Linked DNA regions of Bombyx mori. The protein of the gene in region 3 purifies or fractionates together with the protein of the main gene of each other region. This does not show direct contact. Links are inferred from orthologs where the notes say so. Each region holds a gene or a part of one and is shown on either strand. Other genes may lie near its edges.

Evidence for each region.
Region 1: the proteins of chromatin-remodeling complex ATPase chain Iswi (region 3) and DNA polymerase epsilon subunit 3 fractionate together in Drosophila melanogaster (co-fractionation; 4 studies listed by BioGRID, with this or other methods). This does not show direct contact. The link is inferred for Bombyx mori from reciprocal best matches to the Drosophila melanogaster genes Iswi and Chrac-14.
Region 2: the proteins of chromatin-remodeling complex ATPase chain Iswi (region 3) and nucleosome-remodeling factor subunit NURF301 purify together in Drosophila melanogaster (affinity purification with western blotting; 7 studies listed by BioGRID, with this or other methods). This does not show direct contact. The link is inferred for Bombyx mori from reciprocal best matches to the Drosophila melanogaster genes Iswi and E(bx).
Region 4: the proteins of chromatin-remodeling complex ATPase chain Iswi (region 3) and chromatin accessibility complex 16kD protein fractionate together in Drosophila melanogaster (co-fractionation; 4 studies listed by BioGRID, with this or other methods). This does not show direct contact. The link is inferred for Bombyx mori from reciprocal best matches to the Drosophila melanogaster genes Iswi and Chrac-16.
Region 5: the proteins of chromatin-remodeling complex ATPase chain Iswi (region 3) and uncharacterized protein LOC101741235 fractionate together in Drosophila melanogaster (co-fractionation; 4 studies listed by BioGRID, with this or other methods). This does not show direct contact. The link is inferred for Bombyx mori from reciprocal best matches to the Drosophila melanogaster genes Iswi and Nurf-38.

The regions. Positions count from the first base shown.
Region 1 is NC_085130.1:7,455,730-7,459,067, reverse strand, and holds DNA polymerase epsilon subunit 3, read left to right. Parts: upstream 1-1,630; 5' UTR 1,631-1,755; coding exon 1,756-2,115; 3' UTR 2,116-2,644; downstream 2,645-3,338. UniProt on the Drosophila melanogaster protein: Accessory component of the DNA polymerase epsilon complex. Participates in DNA repair and in chromosomal DNA replication. Histone-like protein which promotes nucleosome sliding of ATP-dependent nucleosome remodeling complexes.
Region 2 is NC_085116.1:8,917,982-8,921,855, reverse strand, and holds part of nucleosome-remodeling factor subunit NURF301, read left to right. Parts: intron 1-2,026; coding exon 2,027-2,222; intron 2,223-3,874. UniProt on the Drosophila melanogaster protein: Histone-binding component of NURF (nucleosome remodeling factor), a complex which catalyzes ATP-dependent nucleosome sliding and facilitates transcription of chromatin.
Region 3 is NC_085119.1:7,662,116-7,665,989, forward strand, and holds part of chromatin-remodeling complex ATPase chain Iswi, read left to right. Parts: coding exon 1-115; intron 116-616; coding exon 617-904; intron 905-1,026; coding exon 1,027-1,240; intron 1,241-1,898; coding exon 1,899-2,170; intron 2,171-2,340; coding exon 2,341-2,568; intron 2,569-2,682; coding exon 2,683-2,928; intron 2,929-3,028; coding exon 3,029-3,134; intron 3,135-3,258; coding exon 3,259-3,404; intron 3,405-3,874.
Region 4 is NC_085111.1:17,749,466-17,754,037, reverse strand, and holds the start of chromatin accessibility complex 16kD protein, read left to right. Parts: upstream 1-1,723; 5' UTR 1,724-2,311; coding exon 2,312-2,437; intron 2,438-2,920; coding exon 2,921-3,178; 3' UTR 3,179-3,184; intron 3,185-3,560; 3' UTR 3,561-4,572. UniProt on the Drosophila melanogaster protein: Histone-like protein which promotes nucleosome sliding of ATP-dependent nucleosome remodeling complexes. Part of the chromatin-accessibility complex (CHRAC) which uses energy/ATP to increase the general accessibility of DNA in chromatin.
Region 5 is NC_085115.1:3,630,244-3,634,681, reverse strand, and holds the start of uncharacterized protein LOC101741235, read left to right. Parts: upstream 1-1,512; 5' UTR 1,513-1,548; intron 1,549-2,912; exon of another isoform or gene 2,913-3,048; 5' UTR 3,049-3,077; coding exon 3,078-3,273; intron 3,274-4,438. UniProt on the Drosophila melanogaster protein: Component of NURF (nucleosome remodeling factor), a complex which catalyzes ATP-dependent nucleosome sliding and facilitates transcription of chromatin.

The DNA.
Region 1 (3,338 bases), on a different chromosome or scaffold from region 3:
GTTAGACAAAATCAGTGCACATGTCGTAGAATTGTTGTAAAAACCTTTTTCACATTTTTTGAGACACAGGTACTAGGAAATGAAAAAGCTATCTGTTTAGCATAAAGTTTCAAATTAACAGTCACCGAATCTCTATAAAACTTATTAGTAACAAAAAACATAATAGCTTAAAAAAATAGAGAATATAACACGCTATCGCGTTTTTGTTCATTTGGACATCACTATTGTCAAAACAACACTGGCATCAACATTGCACCACGAGTTTGCGCAATACCTCCAAGCGTACCTAACTCAATAAAAATGTATTTATAAATTTTATTTCAATTTTATTACGTACTTAGTAAATTCAACAATTGACCTTCCCTTTTATATGTATTCACGTCATTCATTTTTAATTTTTCATCGATTTCTGTAAAACTAGGTCATTGACCTGTTTAGTTGATTCAGTTGTCAATTTCTATCTAAAAAGTAGATACCTATTATGTTTTAAAAACGAACTAACACGGACAACGTGTCCTTTGATACGCTAATATACGCTTTCATGGTAGTCAATGTATGCCTAGTAAATCTATGGTAAGCCTACTGATATATTTTATTATATTTTCTAAATAATGTTTTTAAGCACACTGGTCACTCGTAAATCAGCTGTTTACGGGTAACATGATAACGAACGCGAAGCTTTTGTGAACTGAAGGCCATGTTATTTTTTAAAGATGAAATTTTTATTGCTGTTCCTCCCTTCAAACCGGAATGCAATAATGCTTTGTGGCAGAAATGAGCAAGTAATTTCGTTCGTTTCTCATTATATCGACATCGTGCAAATCAAATAATTCTACAAACAACACGAGTGTTCGAACCATTGCTTTTTATTTTTATCAACAATCAACAAGGTTTCAAGCGAATTAAATGGCTGATTAAAATAACAGATTATCAGATTATAATAATTTAACCAAAAAATAATAGCGAAAATAAACTTTTACATACTTTTGAGTAATTTATTTTTTGACCGTGAATTATTTTGGATAATGGTGACTGCTAAATATTTTGAGTTAATTAGACGATAAAGTCGATTTCCCACCAAAGCATACAGTTTAAGTTTATCTCATATTGTCTTGATCTTTGCTGCACTACAAGCCCTCTTCTGGTCTGCATTCGTTAAATGGACATTATGCGTCATCATCAATGCGTGCTTTCTTGCCACCAGTGAATTAAAATTATCACGCAATCCTATATTTTTGTAATATTTTTGGAAAACAGATCGCAATGTTTTTATAGCATGTAACGTGAATAAGATTTGAGGTTTTAATTTTGAAGAATAATAGAAACGTTGAATAAACAACAAATAAACACGTGATAACGCTAAATACTAATTGTGAATTCGGTAGGCTACTACACTGCAGGATCTAACTGCTGGTATTGTCCCATCGTTTTATGTAACTTCACCGGGTATCTCATACAGCATAATAATATAGTTTAAGCCACGATACCTATGAAAACTTTGAAAAAAAGGCATTGTATTCCGAGTACCTATTTTTGAGACTTTTTGTAGCACGGCGACAGGCGGCAGTTACTAACCCTTGTATCCATAGATAATACACATAGAGAGTACTATCGTAACATTCGTAACTGTGTATAATCTATAACTGTGACTGTATGCTCCAATCAATGTCAAGAAATGTCATTAGTGCTTCTGGCGGTTAAATTAATGTTTTCATTTAATTCCAGATTTTATAAATAGGAACGTTATAAACAAAAATGGCTGAAAAACTCGAAGATTTGAATTTACCACTCACAGTTGTAACTAGAATCGTAAAAGAAGCTCTTCCCAGTGGCGTATCGATATCAAAAGAGGCGCGAACTGGCCTCGCTAAGGCGGCTTCAGTTTTTGTACTTTATGTGACTTCAGCAGCTACAAATATTGTTAAGAACAAAAAAAGGAAGGCTCTCACTGGGCAGGACGTGATAGATGCTATGAAAGACATCGAATTTGATAGATTTGTGGAACCTTTAGGAGAAGCTCTGGAACATTACAAGACCATGGCTTCGGCACGAAAATCCGCTTCTATGAAGAAAAAAGATGAACAAGAAGACGCTGAGATTATAGAAGACGATTGAATACTACTGCGACTTGAGTTTAAAATGTATAGTGGCGCTTAGTGGTGTATATTCAGAAACTGTGCTGAAAAACTATATGAAATAAGTTCAAAGAACCCATGCCTGTGTTACAAAAGTGATAAATGTTTAAATGAAACAAGTTTCCCATGAACATTTACAACAGTTACCTCGCAATAATTAATCAGTTGGTAATAATGTATGAAGTGTTTTAAAATTAAATAAACTTTTATTAAAAACAAGTAAACTTCAAAAGCATCCCAAAATGAATTGTGTCCACTTACTTTTACATCAGTAAATTAACTACAATTAAAACTTAGAACTTCTCAAAATTTGTTTTTGCAATTTGCTAAAATTAAAAGTATTTTATTTGATTTATTACTGATATTTTTCTAAACTTAATTTTTACTGCCATAAAAATTACTTAATGTTAGGTTATGTATGTATGTATGTTATGTAAATGTTACAATTATTACTAGATCTGGTCACACATCCTTTTAAAACTTGTAATTATAAGAAAATTTTGTTAGAATCTGGCTTTTCTATTATTTTTCAGTATTCTAGAATAGTCTCAAGAGAAATTAAAATAATGGTTATGTTTGTGTGAAAACCTCCAATTATTTTCATTCAATATATCATACAATATTCAATGCCCTGCTTATCTATGGTGGTAGTTCTCGAAACTTGGTAGTTTGTTTTGGCTTTTGTCAAGAGTGGGACATGACAACCAATTTGAATTAAATGATACGAAATATGAATCAAATGAGTCGACTATTATCAAAGCCGGCAATGTGACTTTTGGACAATTATTGGTAAATCAGAAAAACGAATTATTGACTTTGTATTCTGTTGGCAGTCACAAAACTCTTCTGAACGACATCTTAGATAAATAACAGGTTAAGTATTAACCTTTATTTAATGCAGGTTTTGAACCGTATTCTTTGAAGGAGACGATTATATTCAAATCAATCTGTATTGACATATCAATAACATTTTTTTGTCCAAATGCACAGATTGCCACCTTTGATAATAGACGACTCAAATACAATATAACATCATAGGATAAGATTCAAAATAAGTGTTTATAGGAAGTCTCAAAGTAGTTCCACTGACAAAGTAAAAAATGGAAGAATTATGGTATGGGCATGTTATGTGAATGACGATAATCATTTGACCAAAAATAATCTAGGTGTGATAGTGACAGTGTTTTAAATAACTTCGATGGA
Region 2 (3,874 bases), on a different chromosome or scaffold from region 3:
TATTTACAATAAATTCCAATTCTTTGGGCGATTTGACGTTCACCAAATCCTTCCTCACATAGTGTACAAATGGCGCTTCGCTGTTCTAGTCTAATTTGCTTGCGTCTTACCAGCCAGAAGAAAAAGTACGGTCAAAGCAGTAGTCGTAATATTGTGAATACCGACAATATGAATATCATATCCTTCGCGTGCCAATGGTAAAGTGCGACTAAATAAATAAAGTCCTAAAAGTTAAAACTAGCAAAAATATTTAATAATACCACACCATTGCATAAAAGAAAGCAGTCGACGGATTAATTCATAAAACACAAGTTTCGTTAAAATCAAGGAATTTGAGAAATCTATAACATGACATGATCCTATTGTTTTTGTGTGAACAACCTACTACATAGTGTCGGCGATGTTCTTTTTTGTATAAAAACAGGTGTGCTTCTAAACTTTTGGACGGTAGTGTAGTTTGTCTAGATTTAATATAAACTTAAAGTATGAGCTAGCTGACTGATTTTGTTGTTTTATAAAAAACTGCAGAAAATAGAATCACCCAAAGGTAAATTAAAATCAGCATTTTAATTTGTTTTTACAAGAACTCTGGCAACATCTTGCTTATGTTGTACAAATTAAAACTTAATTACTTTGTGGAAATATAAGGATAAGACATCCCCTCAAAATTCACAACAAAATTAGTAGTTTTTTTAAATTGTGAAATTTATATACTTTATTGACGAAATATTGTTAAAAACAAAAATCCGGAGTTAAAAATGCATTCCATTATAAATAAATTCAATACCAGTCAACTACCCTACTTTTTATAATTTCGAAACGACATTACAAAGTACCTACCGATATCAAATTGAGCAAGACCATCGATAATCATGTATACAGCATGCCTGGATGTCCTTTACGTTCGAAAACACAGTTACTATTTTAAATTGTAGGTTTTATTGACGTAGCATTAACGATAGTTTTGCTTCAAATTTTATTACAATTTCCATGTTTCCATGTGTTGACACGGCTTTAAATTCGGATGGCTTATTTGTTTTTTTTTAAACTGCCTAGATAACTTTGAACGGATCAGAATTTCTTCTACGTTCACATGCAATACAAGTTGCAAACTAAATCCAATATTAACAATAGTTTCTTCAGTACTGAAAATAATTAACATGCTGTTCATGTTATTATTTTACATATTAAATATAGTGTTAAATCCATATTCTACTATTTGTTCATAGATTTACTGATGGCCTCGTTTTCTTCACGTATTACGAATTAATAAAAAGTAAAATAATATATGTATCTAAAATGTAATTAAATTGTTCTGCCATTATACTTTACAAAGTCGTTCTATTTTTTACCTAAAACGAGAGATCATCGGTAAAACTTCTCGTAAGTAGCTGTAAAGATTACAATATTTATTCAATTTCTGTCAAATCATGATGTCTTTAAGAGTCTTGAAAATTTAATACACAGTCATATGAAACAGCTGTGTTGTAAAAGCCCACCGAAAATGTTCCTGAAGACGTATGAATCATCAGATTTTAAATAGTCAAATAATAAAAATATGGAAGTTTTTTTTCTGTAAATCTTATGTCCATAAGCGGGCTGATGATTCAATGAAAATATTCGTATCGAGAATTGCTCATACACCACTTTTCATGTTTTAACATTTAAGAACAAGTATTGAATTAATTTAATGAACACATTTTAATAAAGCATTGAAACATATAAGTCACTGTCTTTTATTTGATAGAAACCTTTTATTATTTTTTTACTTTTTTAGTTTTCATTTTATGTGCAAACGTTTTGTGGGGGTGTATGGGCAATTCATTAACATTTATCTAATGAAAATTCTTACACAAAATCAGATTAAATTCAATATCAATTGTTAAATTTAAGTTATGTTTGTTAAATATATTCCCACAAACGTGAGACAATGTATTTTTATTTATTTCGTATTGCTGTTAAATTATTTTTAATTCTTTTAGTGTAACGCATAAAAATCATTAGACTGGTGTAATTCTACTTTTAGGAAAATAATGATCCAAAACGACAGGCGCTTTTGAATGGCGAAGACAATGTAGCCGATGCTGCCGTTCACAAAGAAGCGACTCCATTTAAACAGGAAGATATTAAAGAGAATAGCACTAAAACTGACTTAGTTAATGCTAACCAAGATCGTTTGCAAAGTAACAAATTCGTCCTCACACCTGACTACATTCAACAAAGTAAGTTCAAATATTTCTAACTTAACTTCGTGAAATGAGTGTATTTAATAAACAGCTATTTAATCGACAATTAAATTTCCTATAAAAATTCCGTGATTTTCGTGTCAACTGATAATTTTAATAGTCCTACAAATATTAAACATGAATATAGTTAATCAACGAAAATACGTCAACAAACGGCGTCAACATTCATTGAAGTGCTTGACTTATTTATCTATCAACGGTCGCGTTGCGAGAAAGCGTCAAATAATTCTTTACTCAGTGCTCACGAGGAATTTAAAGGCTTATATTAAAGGACTTTCATGCCTCGATTTAACTTATACCTCCTATAAATATTTTAAACTATTTAACTAAGCGTTTTCAGTTGCACAGCACTCTTAGCACGCGAAGAAAAAGCTATAATAAAGCTATATTATAATTATTATAATGGGCCGCTAGACGTAACCATAGCGAGATTCAGGAAACCTACCTTATCTATAATATTCTATTATATAATATTCTATAGGAAACCTACTTTATCTATTGAGTGTTGATGAAATTTTATTTGGTGCAAACTGAAGACCCCGTTGTTATCTTATAAGGAAAGAGTCAATTTGGGATTCAATGAGATTTGCAGTTTCGAGCTTATTCAACAAAGCCGTAAGCTCTGTTCAAATTTTTATTACATCTGTGACATCCGTCATTGGTGATATTAGAAAAATTTGTAGTTTTACTATTTGCATCAGTCCGTCCGCAAGTTAATCAGGATTTTTCTGATTAAACGAAATGTGTTTCAACTACATGTGTAGTAATGCTTGCCTGGCGGACATAATAATATATTTCAAACAATTTCACTGAATTACCAAATTTTAATATATATATCGACGCTTGAAAGGCAAACGTGACTAAGCGACAATAACTGCTTTGTACATAAATGATAGGCAATAACCATATTCGATGCGCAAAAAAAAATTATTTCTAGATCTATTAAAATCATTTCAATCCTACAGCTAGATTCGTTATAGAATTTTTTATCAGGTATTTGTCAGGTATATGTTAAATTAATTTCAACTTTATATTAGTCTACTGTAAATTTCACGCACTGTCGCTTAGTCACGTTTGCCTTTCAAGCGTCGATATATATATTCAGTCCCAACTCAATTGGATAAAAAACGCGCCAGCGATAAACCACGTAGCAACAACAACAACGCTCAAACCGCCAACCTATAAAGATCATATTTTAATAGGATGATGACATTAATAACTTCTGCCATATTTTTTTTTACCCATAAAATGTTGTTAAAATGGGGGGACACAACTATTTTATTGATTTGAGTGGATATGACTAAGGGGTAAATTTTTTACCTTGAAGTAACTTTAAATTTCAAGTCATGTCCCAATTGAGAATCTGACCTCATGTCTCAAGCTGAGTTACGGCATTCACATCGTTATATCTATGGGCTCCGGTAATTAACTCCAGCTGGAACGTGGAGTTGTTCACCCGATCATTCAAGATAATTGAATACCTCTTGATCCAAATAAACAAGGTCAATGTTATGTCATTCCATATTGTATAATAATATGATTTTAAAGTTGATATAGCTGAAGTCAAACTTTTTCTATAATCTATTGTATGTGTATATTAATCAAAGAGTGAAATAAATCGTTCGGTT
Region 3 (3,874 bases):
TGGTCCTCACATAGTAATTGTACCAAAATCCACTTTGACAAATTGGATGAACGAATTTAAAAAGTGGTGCCCTTCACTAAAAGCTGTGTGTCTTATTGGTGATCAAGAAACAAGGGTATGTATAATGTTCATTGCCATTTAATATTTATAGCAAAATTTTAATATATCATAATACAAGATATTAGTAGAATATTACCAAAGGCAAATAAAGTGATTAGAATAGCAAAATTTGACTAAGTACATAAATAGTCCTTTTGAAAAGTCTGTATATCATTAATATTCCACATTACACAGAAAGAAGAGAAACCGTTAACAGCCATTATAGAGCAATATAAAACCTTGTATAGAATTGAAAAAAAACATTGTACATTATTATTTTTAGACTTCATTTTTCTGATTATATTGTATTGCACTATTATATGTTTTTTTTGGTACTTGTTCTACAAAAAAAATATGTATGCTAAAAATATATATATATATATTATGCAAAAAACTTGTGTGCAAAGCTTAACCTAGACTAGTTTTCTTAAAACAAATATAAAATAGACATCACTTTAGACTAGATACAAATTAAAAGTATGGTAGGAAAATGGATTAATAAATAAATATGTTTCAGAATACATTTATCCGAGAAACCTTGATGCCTGGAAACTGGGATGTTTGCATTACATCATATGAAATGATTATAAGAGAGAAATCTGTCTTTAAAAAGTTTAACTGGCGTTATATGGTGATTGATGAGGCTCACCGTATCAAGAATGAAAAATCTAAATTATCGGAGCTGCTTAGGGAATTTAAGAGTATGAACAGGTTGCTGTTAACTGGTACTCCCTTGCAAAATAATCTCCATGAGTTGTGGGCACTATTGAATTTCCTTCTGCCTGATGTTTTTAATAGTTCTGATGTGAGTAATAATACAAGGAAATGCACAATGGAAAAAATGCAAAATTAATGAATACTATTTTAATTAAATATTATTTTCATTAACCTTTTTAACATTCAATGTTTTTTTTTCTGATATTCTAGGACTTTGACTCATGGTTTAATACAAATGCAGCCCTAGGTGATAACCAATTGGTTTCACGTTTACATGCTGTACTAAGACCATTTTTGCTTCGGAGACTCAAATCTGAGGTTGAGAAAAAATTAAAGCCTAAAAAGGAATTAAAAGTTTATGTGGGTTTGAGTAAAATGCAAAGAGAGTGGTATACTAAGGTTCTTATGAAGGATATTGATGTAGGTAAGTCAGAATATGTTCATTATGCCGAATAACAATGCCTTAAATGTTTCCCTAAACATAGGTAATATGTTTTCTAGAAATGGGTTTCACCTGTCAAACGGTTAAGAAGTCACAATAAAACAATAGGTAGTTAATATATCCATAGTCTTGAGGTAACTAGGAAAGCATCTGCTATATGCCTTTGCACTATATTGTCCAAGATATGAAATGAAAAGTTTATTACTTAAATTAGTCATATTTAACTTACTTTGGAAATTTACTATAATTTACTATAATCATAGATTAACTGAGAATAAAGTAAATATAACTAATTTTTTCTACAAGTGCTATCTTCTAAAGGAGCTTGGAAAGCATTACAGTGACTTTAACCTTACACAACTGGTCTGAGGTTCTTTTGTTCCATTGGTTTCTTTTCTCTTTACAGCTAATTAATAAATAATACGTATAAGAATAATAGATAACTCTCCAGCTTTAGATCTTTTGTTTCGACATGTCTTTGATATGAACTGTGACGTTTCATGGCTAAGATTTTGCATTCGGTGTCCGAGATACTTGGGTGATGTTGAGTAAGGGCAAGATACATCTACACCTGTTGTCTTAAGTTTATTTGCTTATTAATAAATTAATTACCAATTTGTAATAATTTTATTACCTATAGTAAATGGTGCTGGAAAGGTTGAAAAAATGCGACTCCAGAACATTCTTATGCAGCTACGCAAATGTTGTAACCATCCTTATTTATTTGATGGCGCTGAGCCGGGTCCACCGTACACAACTGATGAACATTTAGTATATAACTGTGGTAAACTTACTATACTGGATAAGCTTTTACCTAAGCTTCAGGAGCAAGAGTCGAGAGTACTTATTTTCTCACAAATGACTAGGATGCTGGACATCTTAGAAGATTATTGCCTTTGGAGGCAATATAAGGTAATATTAAGCATGATTTGAAAAATTTTTTTTGCTAGCTTTTAATCTTTATTTAGCTGCCTTTAAATGTAAATACTGCATCCACAGACAATGCTGTAAATTAACTCTTCATAAAAATAAATGCATAGCATATAACTTAAAGCTATGCAATATTGTAATTTTTTTTATAGTATTGCCGTCTAGATGGTCAAACACCACATGAAGATAGAAATCGACAAATAGAAGAGTATAATATGGAGGGGAGTGAGAAATTTGTTTTTATGTTATCTACACGAGCTGGTGGTCTTGGTATTAACTTAACATCAGCTGATGTTGTTATTATTTATGACTCTGATTGGAATCCTCAAATGGATCTGCAGGCCATGGATAGAGCTCACCGTATTGGTCAGAAAAAGCAGGTGGGTTTAACTTAAATATGTTTTGGCAGATATAATTTTACAACTTTTGCACACCGGTAAGATTAACTATTAGTGAAATTTGTAAAATAATTTATTAATCTAAATGTTTCATAGGTCAGAGTGTTCCGTTTGATAACAGACAACACGGTTGAAGAAAAGATTGTAGAACGTGCGGAAGTGAAATTGCGCCTGGACAAACTTGTAATTCAGTCCGGTAGACTGGTCGACACTAAGAACCAGCTGAACAAAGATGAGATGCTCAACATGATCAGACATGGTGCCAACCACGTCTTTGCGTCTAAGGATTCTGAGGTTACTGATGAGGACATCGATACGATTTTAGCTAAAGGAGAGAGCAAGGTATTGTAATATAATATAGTAGGAAAAAAAAGCTTTGTAATACAACCACTTGCTTGACAACATGTGTTAAACTAGTTTTTTTTTTAATATACTATTATAGACTGAGGAGTTGAAGCAGAAATTGGAGAGCCTGGGCGAGTCGTCCTTGCGAGCATTTTCAATGGACACTCCTGGCGCGACCACCGACTCAGTTTATCAATTTGAAGGTTGTCCTCAAAACTATTTGATAAAGTGAATTTCACTTCAGTTTTGAACTGATAATTTGGTAAAGTATTCAAAAATCTATTATTTTATACTCACAGTGTTAATAATATTATTATGCCCGTTTAGGCGAGGATTACAGAGAGAAGCAAAAAGTTATCCCAATGGGTAGTTGGATAGAGCCGCCTAAGCGCGAACGTAAAGCTAATTATGCCGTGGACGCCTACTTCAGAGAGGCTCTACGTGTATCTGAACCGAAGGCGCCAAAGGTACAGGTAAATAAGTGTAAAGAGCTAAATCGGATTCCTCAGGAGTCCTCCTATTGGCGATTGTTGGTATTGGTATTCATTTAATCATTTATGTAACAGTATTTTGATTAGCTCTTTATACTGGTATTTATGTATGCCTTATATAAATATTTAGCTTACATAGTAGATTATGAATATCTCGTCTGTTTTGTAAAAGACTCTTCTATTTTAATTTTGTGAATTGCATTGGACAAGAATCCGAAGAATAGGAATGTAGATAAACCAAAAACAAAGAATCAAAATATTCCTAATGGATAGACATTTAAGTAAAAGTCCATATAAAAAAAATTACTTTAAAAAAGTAGTTTTCATAAATAAATAAAAATTATTACATTATTATATTATTGATCTAAATTATAAGCAATAAGTTAAAGTTGCAAATTTGTCAACATTCATTCAGAGCGCGTATTATTTACTATGTATTTATTTATATCTAT
Region 4 (4,572 bases), on a different chromosome or scaffold from region 3:
CAGCGTATTATGAGATCTAAACAAAATGCAAAAACATTATACTAACGACATCTGTAAGTGGTCTGGAGAAACAATTGGGTTAAGGGGCAAACGGTACCTATATAGTTGTTACGAGTAAATTCGAACTTTTCGATTCGAAACGGTTCGAAATAAAAAAAAATGTAACCGAAAAGGACAATGCCCAAAAGTGGGCCAACTTTATGTCTAAACTTTTTGTACTTGAAAAACTATGCCTTATTTTTTCACGTGTTTTAGTTTATGTATCAACATTTCTTTCACCCTGGCATTGTTTTACAAAAAAAAAAAATACTTATTTGATAACACCCCAAAACTGAGGTGAATGAAGTTAGCCCCTCAAAAATTTCTTTTTTTCCTATTTTATACTTATTTTCTATTAATTCGTTTGTTCATCATTTGTTCATGATTGTTCACTGTTAATAATTGTTTGTTCTGCAGTTATTTATTTAAAAAAAATATTTAAAAATATACCTACAAGTTAGCCCCTCTAATGCAATTTTTAATATTTTTTCATCCTTAATAACTCGTAAATATTCATTTTCGATTGTTCTTATATAAAACACGTTTGTTCTCTTTCGAAATTACTCGTTTTTTGTTTAATTTACTATTTTTATTAGTTGAATAAATGTATGCAAAATATGTGTACTGCGCATGCGTCAACTATAATGCCTAAACTTTCTACGCGGTTTTAATCGTGAAAAAAAAAACAAATATAAATCCTGAAGGAGCAATTAATTGGTATACAGTTTAATTAAAAAAATTAAAAAATAAATAAATGAAATAATGTGCATTGGCGTTAAGTTAGAGCAAATACATTTTTTCCATCCTCCTACTTATCGTTATGAAGGTATAAAAAAGATAGGGAGTTCACATAGGTAATATAAACAAATAAGTAAATATGTTCATTATTTATCTTTCAAGAGATAATATAGGTATACATTATAATAACTTTTTTACACAGTCGAAATTATATTCCTAACATTAGTAAAATAACATTTTAATACGATAGGTAAGAGGATGGAAAAAATGTATTTGGTCTAACTTAACGCCAATGCACATTATTTCATTTATTTAATTTTTAATTTTTTTAATTAAACTGTATACCAATTAATTGCTCCTTCAGGATTTATATTTGTTTTCTTTTTCACCATTAAAACCACGTAGAAAGTTTAGGCATTATAGTTGACGCATGCGCAGTACACATATTTTGCATACATTTATTCAACTAATAAAAATAGTAAATTAAACAAAAAACGAGTAATTTCGAAAGATAACAAACGTGTTTTATATAAGAACAATCGAAAATAAATATTTACGAGTCATTAAGGATGAAAAAATATTAAAAATTGCATTAGAGGGGCTAACTTGTAGGTATATTTTTAAATATTTTTTTTAAATAAATAACTGCAGAACAAACAATTATTAACAGTGAACAATCATGAACAAATGATGAACAAACGAATTAATAGAAAATAAGTAGAAAATAGGAAAAAAAAATTTTTTTGAGGGGCTAACTTCATTCATCTCCAAAACTGAGTATGGCACAGTTTTTAAATTCGCCAATAGGCAAAGGGCTTAGCCCATACAGCCTTATAGTAAACCTATATGCTGCCAAACGAAAGAGTTGTCTGTGACTTGAACAACAAATTAAAAAAAATAGCTAATGGTTATAATTCACAGACTTTTTTAGTTTATTTTTGTTCAATTCAATTTTTATATATTGTAATAATAATTATTACTTTATATAATTATTTTTAGATATTAATGATTCCATTAGTAAAAATCTCAATGGCCTACCATTACTCTATTCTTATTAAATAATATGATCAGAGAGTTTTGGCGGCAACCCGAGTGAAGCGTCACTTGAAGTTTTATTTTAATGTTTTTTAATAGTTTATTGTGATGTATAATATATAAATTGGGTGTTGTTTTGTGTATTAGACGTCAATAATCGTTGTTCACGATTATTGAGGAATTGGAATAAAACTGTGGCTAACATAGCAGTGACTGTTTTTTTTTTCAAGATAAAAGATCTGCGGAAATTCACGCTCACTCACTTTGGACCCAACAAATCTTACAGAAAATTAAAATATTTAATGAGCAATGTTCCGCATGCCTTTCCGATTTACAAATGAAACAAAACAAAGTTTTTGATTTTGACGTTTAGTTTTGACTTCAGTTTAAAATGCTTAGAGATTCGCGGTCTGTTTTAAATAATCTATTTGAAATGAATTTTTAATAGTTCACCTATAAAATATTTCTAGTTAGTTTGTATTTCCTTTCGACTAAAACGATGGCTACCCCAAAAAGTGAAAAAGATCTGCATTTGCCCCTGTCCAGGGTTAAAACAATAATGAAAAGCTCACCGGACGTAGAAGCAGTTGGTCCAGAACCACTATATTTAGTCACTAAAGTTACAGTGAGTTTTCTAGAGGTTAACCTAAGTTAAACTAACCTAAACTTCCCAAGGCGATTTTTTTTTATTTATTACTTCGACGGTTGAACGTGCTCACGACCCACCTGGTGTTAAGTAGTTACTGGAGCCTATAGACCTCATCACTGTGTGAATGTCTCTACCCAACATGAGACATGAGGTTTCAATTGTATAGTGTAACAGCTGCCTCGCCCCTCAAACCGAAAATCATTACTGCTTCGCAGCCGAAATACCGATGTGCGCCCTACCGTAATGACTAGTTTTATGCAATTTTTTAAAATTTTATGAGTTTGATTTTTATTACACCAATTACTCCAATGATTGATGATATTCTATTTTGAATAGTCTGGACAGTATTTTATAGTACAACTGAGACTTAGATCTTATTTCGTAGGTTCTTAGAGTGGTGACAATCACATTGTGATAGCTATGGACTCCGATAAAGATTATAATCACACTAATTTCCAGGAATTGTTTGTAATGGATCTAGCAAAGAGGGCACACAAAAACAGTAATGCCAACTTCCTAGAATACAAACATATTGCTGATATTGTTCAAGAGGATGACACTTTAGACTTTCTCAGAGAGATCATGCCTCGAAAGATCACTGTGCGTCAATTCAAAGAGATGATGGCCAAGAAAGCTGCCAAGAACGGTGATGATTCAAGTGAAGACTCCAGTGAAGACAGCAGTGAAGACTCATCCAGTAACAATGAACAAGAGTGATAAGCTGTAAGTTAGAATAATTTAATTTACTAAATTTTTACTAAATTTTAATAAATAATTTAATTTAAGGACTAATACACTAATTTAGTTTTAAAATGCGTGTAGTCATAAATACTTTTCTCAAATATATTTAAGAAAAAAATTACATGTAAAGATCCTAAAAAAGTAAATAACTACACTGGAATTACTTGATGTAGAAGTCTAACTCATCAACCCTGGCAGTGATTTTTCGAATGTTACAGACTAAATCTTATTTATTTATTTTAAAACATAACAACATTCCCAATACACCAATAGTGGCCTGTTAGTGGATGCACAATGTTTTAAATAATTTAGCAAACTAGATGATCGTGATTTTAATCTTCAAATGTTATAATTTCAGGAACTACAAACACTAAGGGACAAATTCACAGACTGAAGAAAAGTGAAGAATTTAAACAGAAACAAATGTTGAGTGTCTCCTAATCTGTGCCAATAAGCCTATTCTGGCGTTGGGTTATTTTTATTAACTTAATTTTACAAATTGGTTTCTTTTCTTTCATGAAATGTAATAACATTTACAAATATTGTGCTCGTCAAGTATCATTTAATTGTGTCATTAAATTGATGATTGTGTCATTAAATGATAGAATTCTGCCTTTGCATGTTGTTTGTTAATCAAAATGTTATGCAATTAAAATTTGTATTACTTATGATTACTTTAAGTTTTTCAAATATTAAAGTGAAATAAATAACAGAAAGTTTATAAATTATATTGCTAAAACTTTGATCTGGTGTAATCTAAAAGTAATTGTCATTTCATGGACCATCTCAAACTATTTGTTGTGTGACACTTTTATCAAATAATTTCAACTATAATTAAGAGCACTGAAGTATGTTTCTCACAATATCTAAGGCATACAGGAGTATAATTGAGGCCGTCAACGCAAAAGTGGCCTAACCCACAATTTTTCATAATCATGTTTATAATTATGTATATTGCAATCTATTTAAAATATAATAAATTTTGATGCAAAACTGGCATATTCATAGTTTCACCCATAGGTAATAGATGACTGTAAACATTATTTTTGCCCCTATTGTTTTTTGCGTACTCAAATTTAAACTCGTGAAAATTTAAATATCTCTGCTCCATAATAACTATGGTAAGCTTTGGCCACTTTTGCGCTGACGGCCTCAATTGTCACATGAAGTTGGAGTTTCAACCATACAAGTGATTGAAACTCCAACTTCATGTGACAATTGAGGCCATCTGGACTCATAATTGCATTTGATCTGTGCTTAGTGCGAGTTTTGTAGATGTAGATTAAATATAGAATGAATTGTAAACATTTCATGTGAGTGGGATTTTTATAACTACTATTTTTTTTATTATTTTTGTTTTTGTTTTTTAT
Region 5 (4,438 bases), on a different chromosome or scaffold from region 3:
AGCAGTTGATAAACACGCTAAGTCCTGGAGCTGTACTGCAATCAGAAATCGAAAGTTGGCCCCATTGGCTTGATAATGCTCGAAAAGTACTGGGTTAATATTTTATTTACACAACGAATAGATCGAGTATTACTATAATCGGACTTTATATTACAATGAATAAAATTAATTGAGTAAATATTCTGTTTCGTTATTTAGTTATGAATCTGAAATGTTTGAATACATGAATTTCAAAAGCCGTATAGAGACTTGGCTTGGCTTTGCCGCTGGTGTAGATAATACACATAAATTAGAGATAAGAAACTCAGCATTCAACAAAAATGTTTACAGGCGTCGGCCACTAGATGGCTTCGCTTCGATTAGTTTCTAGTATATTTCCTTTTCTCAAGCATTCAACAAAAATGTTTACGGGCGTCGGCCACTGGATGACTTCGCTTCGATTAGTTTCTAGTATATTTTATTTCTAATGAAGGATTTTGTAAATTTTCAGAAACCACAATTTGATAAAATTTAATCAATTTGTCTATAACAAATAATGATGTATTAACTTTTTATTTTCTGTGTTTAGTCACACAATAATTAAATGCCTTAACTTTAACAATATACATATAAGCTTAGGGGCATCTGCTACAAGATGTCGCTAGTTTCCATACAAAAAATATTTGTCTTAAAGTATCACAATTTCGGGGCCCTGGCCGCTGGCATTGTTGACGTTGACGAGCGACGATAACCACTTATCCTCAGTTGAGCCGTATACTCGTCTGCCTAGAAGGGCAATATTATAAAACTCAAGATACTATTAGTTATATCTGTGTGAAACGTAGAAGTTAAGAAATATTTTTTAAAGAATTATAGACCGTAACACAATAATCGTAACGAATATCATCGTGTCGTCCGTGACTACTAAAACAGTAAAGTAGGTATTCGAACCGACGAAACAAATAAAATGAAAATACTATGTAAAAACGAGATTTGAAGACAAAATAAGTTTTATTTTAAAATAACGCCATCTAGTGTTTCAATATTAAATTAGGACCAAGTGTTGGGGTCGAGTTCATAACGTTGCATTTAAAACGAACACCAAGACACATTTTATTACCACCAAGACAAATTATTATAAAGAACAGTCTATAATAGGTAATTGGAGCCAGCTATCATTTTTTAACAAATTTATTTACTTTATCGCAATTGAATTTCGATAAAAATTCAAACTACGACCTTACGTTTCATGGTACATAATAATATTATTATGATGCGTGGGCACCAAGAATTATGCTTTAATACTTATCTTTATTTAGTTGAGTAGGTCCTGTAGTTTATTGTAAAAATGAACTGAGTTCTGTATAATTTATATAGATGGCGCTAACCTAAGTTAGGTAACTCATACTTGAGCAACCATGAAAATTTGATATTCCCTATTCTTTTGCTACAGCTGTGAAAATGAAACCAGTGGTAATTTTCTCTGGATTTAGTAAACTATGTTTAGTATCTACTAAATGTTGTATATGAAAGTGAAACACGTTTGAAGACTAGGCAAAAACGCGAGAGGTTATGTTTTTGTGAAAGTTCGTTAATTAGTATACATATTTAGTTTTGTTTCGTTTCGTTAGCTTAGTATTTCTTCTGATTTAAATTTGTTATAATGATGTCTTCATAACCGCTTTAACATCTGTGAAAATGTAGAGGCAGGAAAACAAAGAAAAACTTTGGACAACTTTTCGTTTTCCTACAAAAGTATTTGATAGAATTTACAGAATATTAACTTAAATTCCCACCATATTATTGAAACAATATTTAATTTCATTCCATTATCAATTTTACATTAATTAATAATTAACAATCATTTAATTCAAGTTTGTTACATTTTTCATTATTAGACATGACTTTGACTATTAAAAACATTGGGCACATTTATAAAAATTGGGCAGTATACTGTAATACCTTCGCCTTTCTCGTTTTGGAATCGTTGACATTTTTCTTTGGATTGACGTTTTAACATGTGTTGCTATGAAAAAAGTATTATTCAAATTTCTTTTAATTACGATCCTATGCTTTACACATGTCACCGTGTTTGCTTAAAGTTTGTTTATAACAGAAATTGTGTGGAAAGTAAGAAGCGTCTATAATTGAAGCAATAATGCTTTTCGGTTTGAAGGGCGAGGTAGCCTTTGTAACTGTAGTGAGACCTTAGAACTTATATCTCAAAGTGGGTGGCGCATTTATGTTGTAGATATCTATGGACTCCAGTAACCACTTAACACCAGGTGGGCTATGAGTTGATCCACCCATCTAAGCTATAAAAAAATAAACTAAAGAAATGTTTAAAAACATTCACTATCATATCATTCGTTTATGGCGTTAGCTAGTAATTTTTATCCTATATTTCTATGGATTATTAAAGAATGCCTATAAGGACACGGTCCATTGCATTTAAAGGGAGGGAGGGACCGTTATTCAAGGATCCACAGTCCAGAAAATTGTCGAATAGTTAAGGACTTATATTTGTTGCTTGTTCTATAAGTTTTGTTTCTATAAATGTCTGATCCTAGTATTTGTGACAAAAATGGCGCGGGCAAGTTAAAATTGAAAATATCAATTGTACCAGATTTATATGAGGGATAATTTTCATTTACATTCATTTGATGCACTAATAGAAAAGGGAAGAAAGAATTATCAAACTCTTTAACAGAACCCTTCACAAAATTTGCAATATAAATTACAAAGAAAATTAAAATCTCGCAATACTGCCACGAACATATAAAGCACAAGTTTGGTGTTTTGAATAAAAATAATGAACTTCAAAAAGTTTAAGTAAAAACTAAATTTAACATTAGGATATTTGGTTGAAACTTCTCTCGTCTTCAATTTCATTAGTTTTAAAATATTAAATTTCACATCTAGCTTATAGTTTTTTTAAGATTACGTTTATCTGAATCATACGTGTGTCCACACAAAGATACTTTTAACAACTTTGACAGTCCTGTAAACTACTAAAATGAATTTAACACTGCCGAAAATTACGTAACAAATTTCGTATTCTTTTTACAGCTTACCTTGGTAACCCGTAGTGGACTAAAATGTCACTTTCACGTTGCGTTTGTGCCGCAGCTGTTCCGGTTTGCCGGTCGATAGCAAGACGATTGTGCGCTGTTAAAGAACCGACACGTGTAACTTGTTCAATTAATTCGACTGCCACACTAAAAACTCAAGTAAGGATGTACATCGTAGAAGAAAGAGGATCACCTTACACTCCTGACTATCGTGTATTCTTCAGTAAGTCTGATAGTGAGAATAATAGATAAAGATAAAATAGTACTCGAGTCGAGTGTGTCGCGTGTCTGAACATAAACTCTCTTAATCATAGTCATATTATAGTTTTAAGTGTTTGAACTTTGAAGTTCGAGGTAATTGTTTTTAAATCAAGTTCAACCAGAGTTTGTTGAAATTGGTTCTTAGTAATGAACTCCGTTTAGAATTCACACAATGTTTATTAGGAGATTTAATATCTATTTCGTTGTTTTAAATTTTTACAGCAATTATCACAATAAGACCTTTAGACTTTAGAAAACTCTCAAGCAATATTTGTTGTTACACAAGTCACCATAATAAAACCCAACAGTAAAATTTTATATTGCTAACATGATAGTGCTACATGAAATTCGGGTTTTTGATTTTAGACTTTTCATTTATTTATAGTTTGTAAATAATATTGATTTATTTTTCTAAACTTAAACTATAATTTGTACAAAAGTAAGGTAAAAAAGAAGAACCGTCAGAAACTACTAAAACTTATATTTTCACTGTACGGTAATAATAAATTTTGTTTATTTATAATAATTGAATAAAAAAATAAAGATGAATACAGTTTAAAACAATGTTTTATAGGCAAACTGAATTCAATTCAATTCATTCATTGAAACAAAAGTCAACTTAACCAGCTGAACTGACTTAGCATATTAATCTCATTTCATAACTGCTAGTATGTAATTCAACAAAAAACAAATTACTTTTATTATGACAACAATTTTATATATTAAATAATTATTTTTTTATATTTCATGTGTAGAATATTTTCCATATTTTTTACCAAAGCACAGGATAGAAATTTAAAACAATAGTAAAATTTGTTTTAATAATAAAATTGATAGTGTAGTTGATAAACCTCGGGTGGTAGCTTTCACCTCAAAATAAACGCAATGTGAAAGCTGCTACTTTATTCCTGATGTTGAATTATATTAAAATAATCTCTTTCTTGCTCTTCAAAACGATTGCAGAAAAAGGATAGGCTACTATAGGATATTACTACTAATACAAGTAAATGCCTACCACAAAGAAATTGGATTCATAACTTGTTTATTCCAAAACAAAGTCCAAAGTAACGGTTATTATTGATAATTAGCTGATGTTATCATACTGTATGAATATGTAAATTATGAAG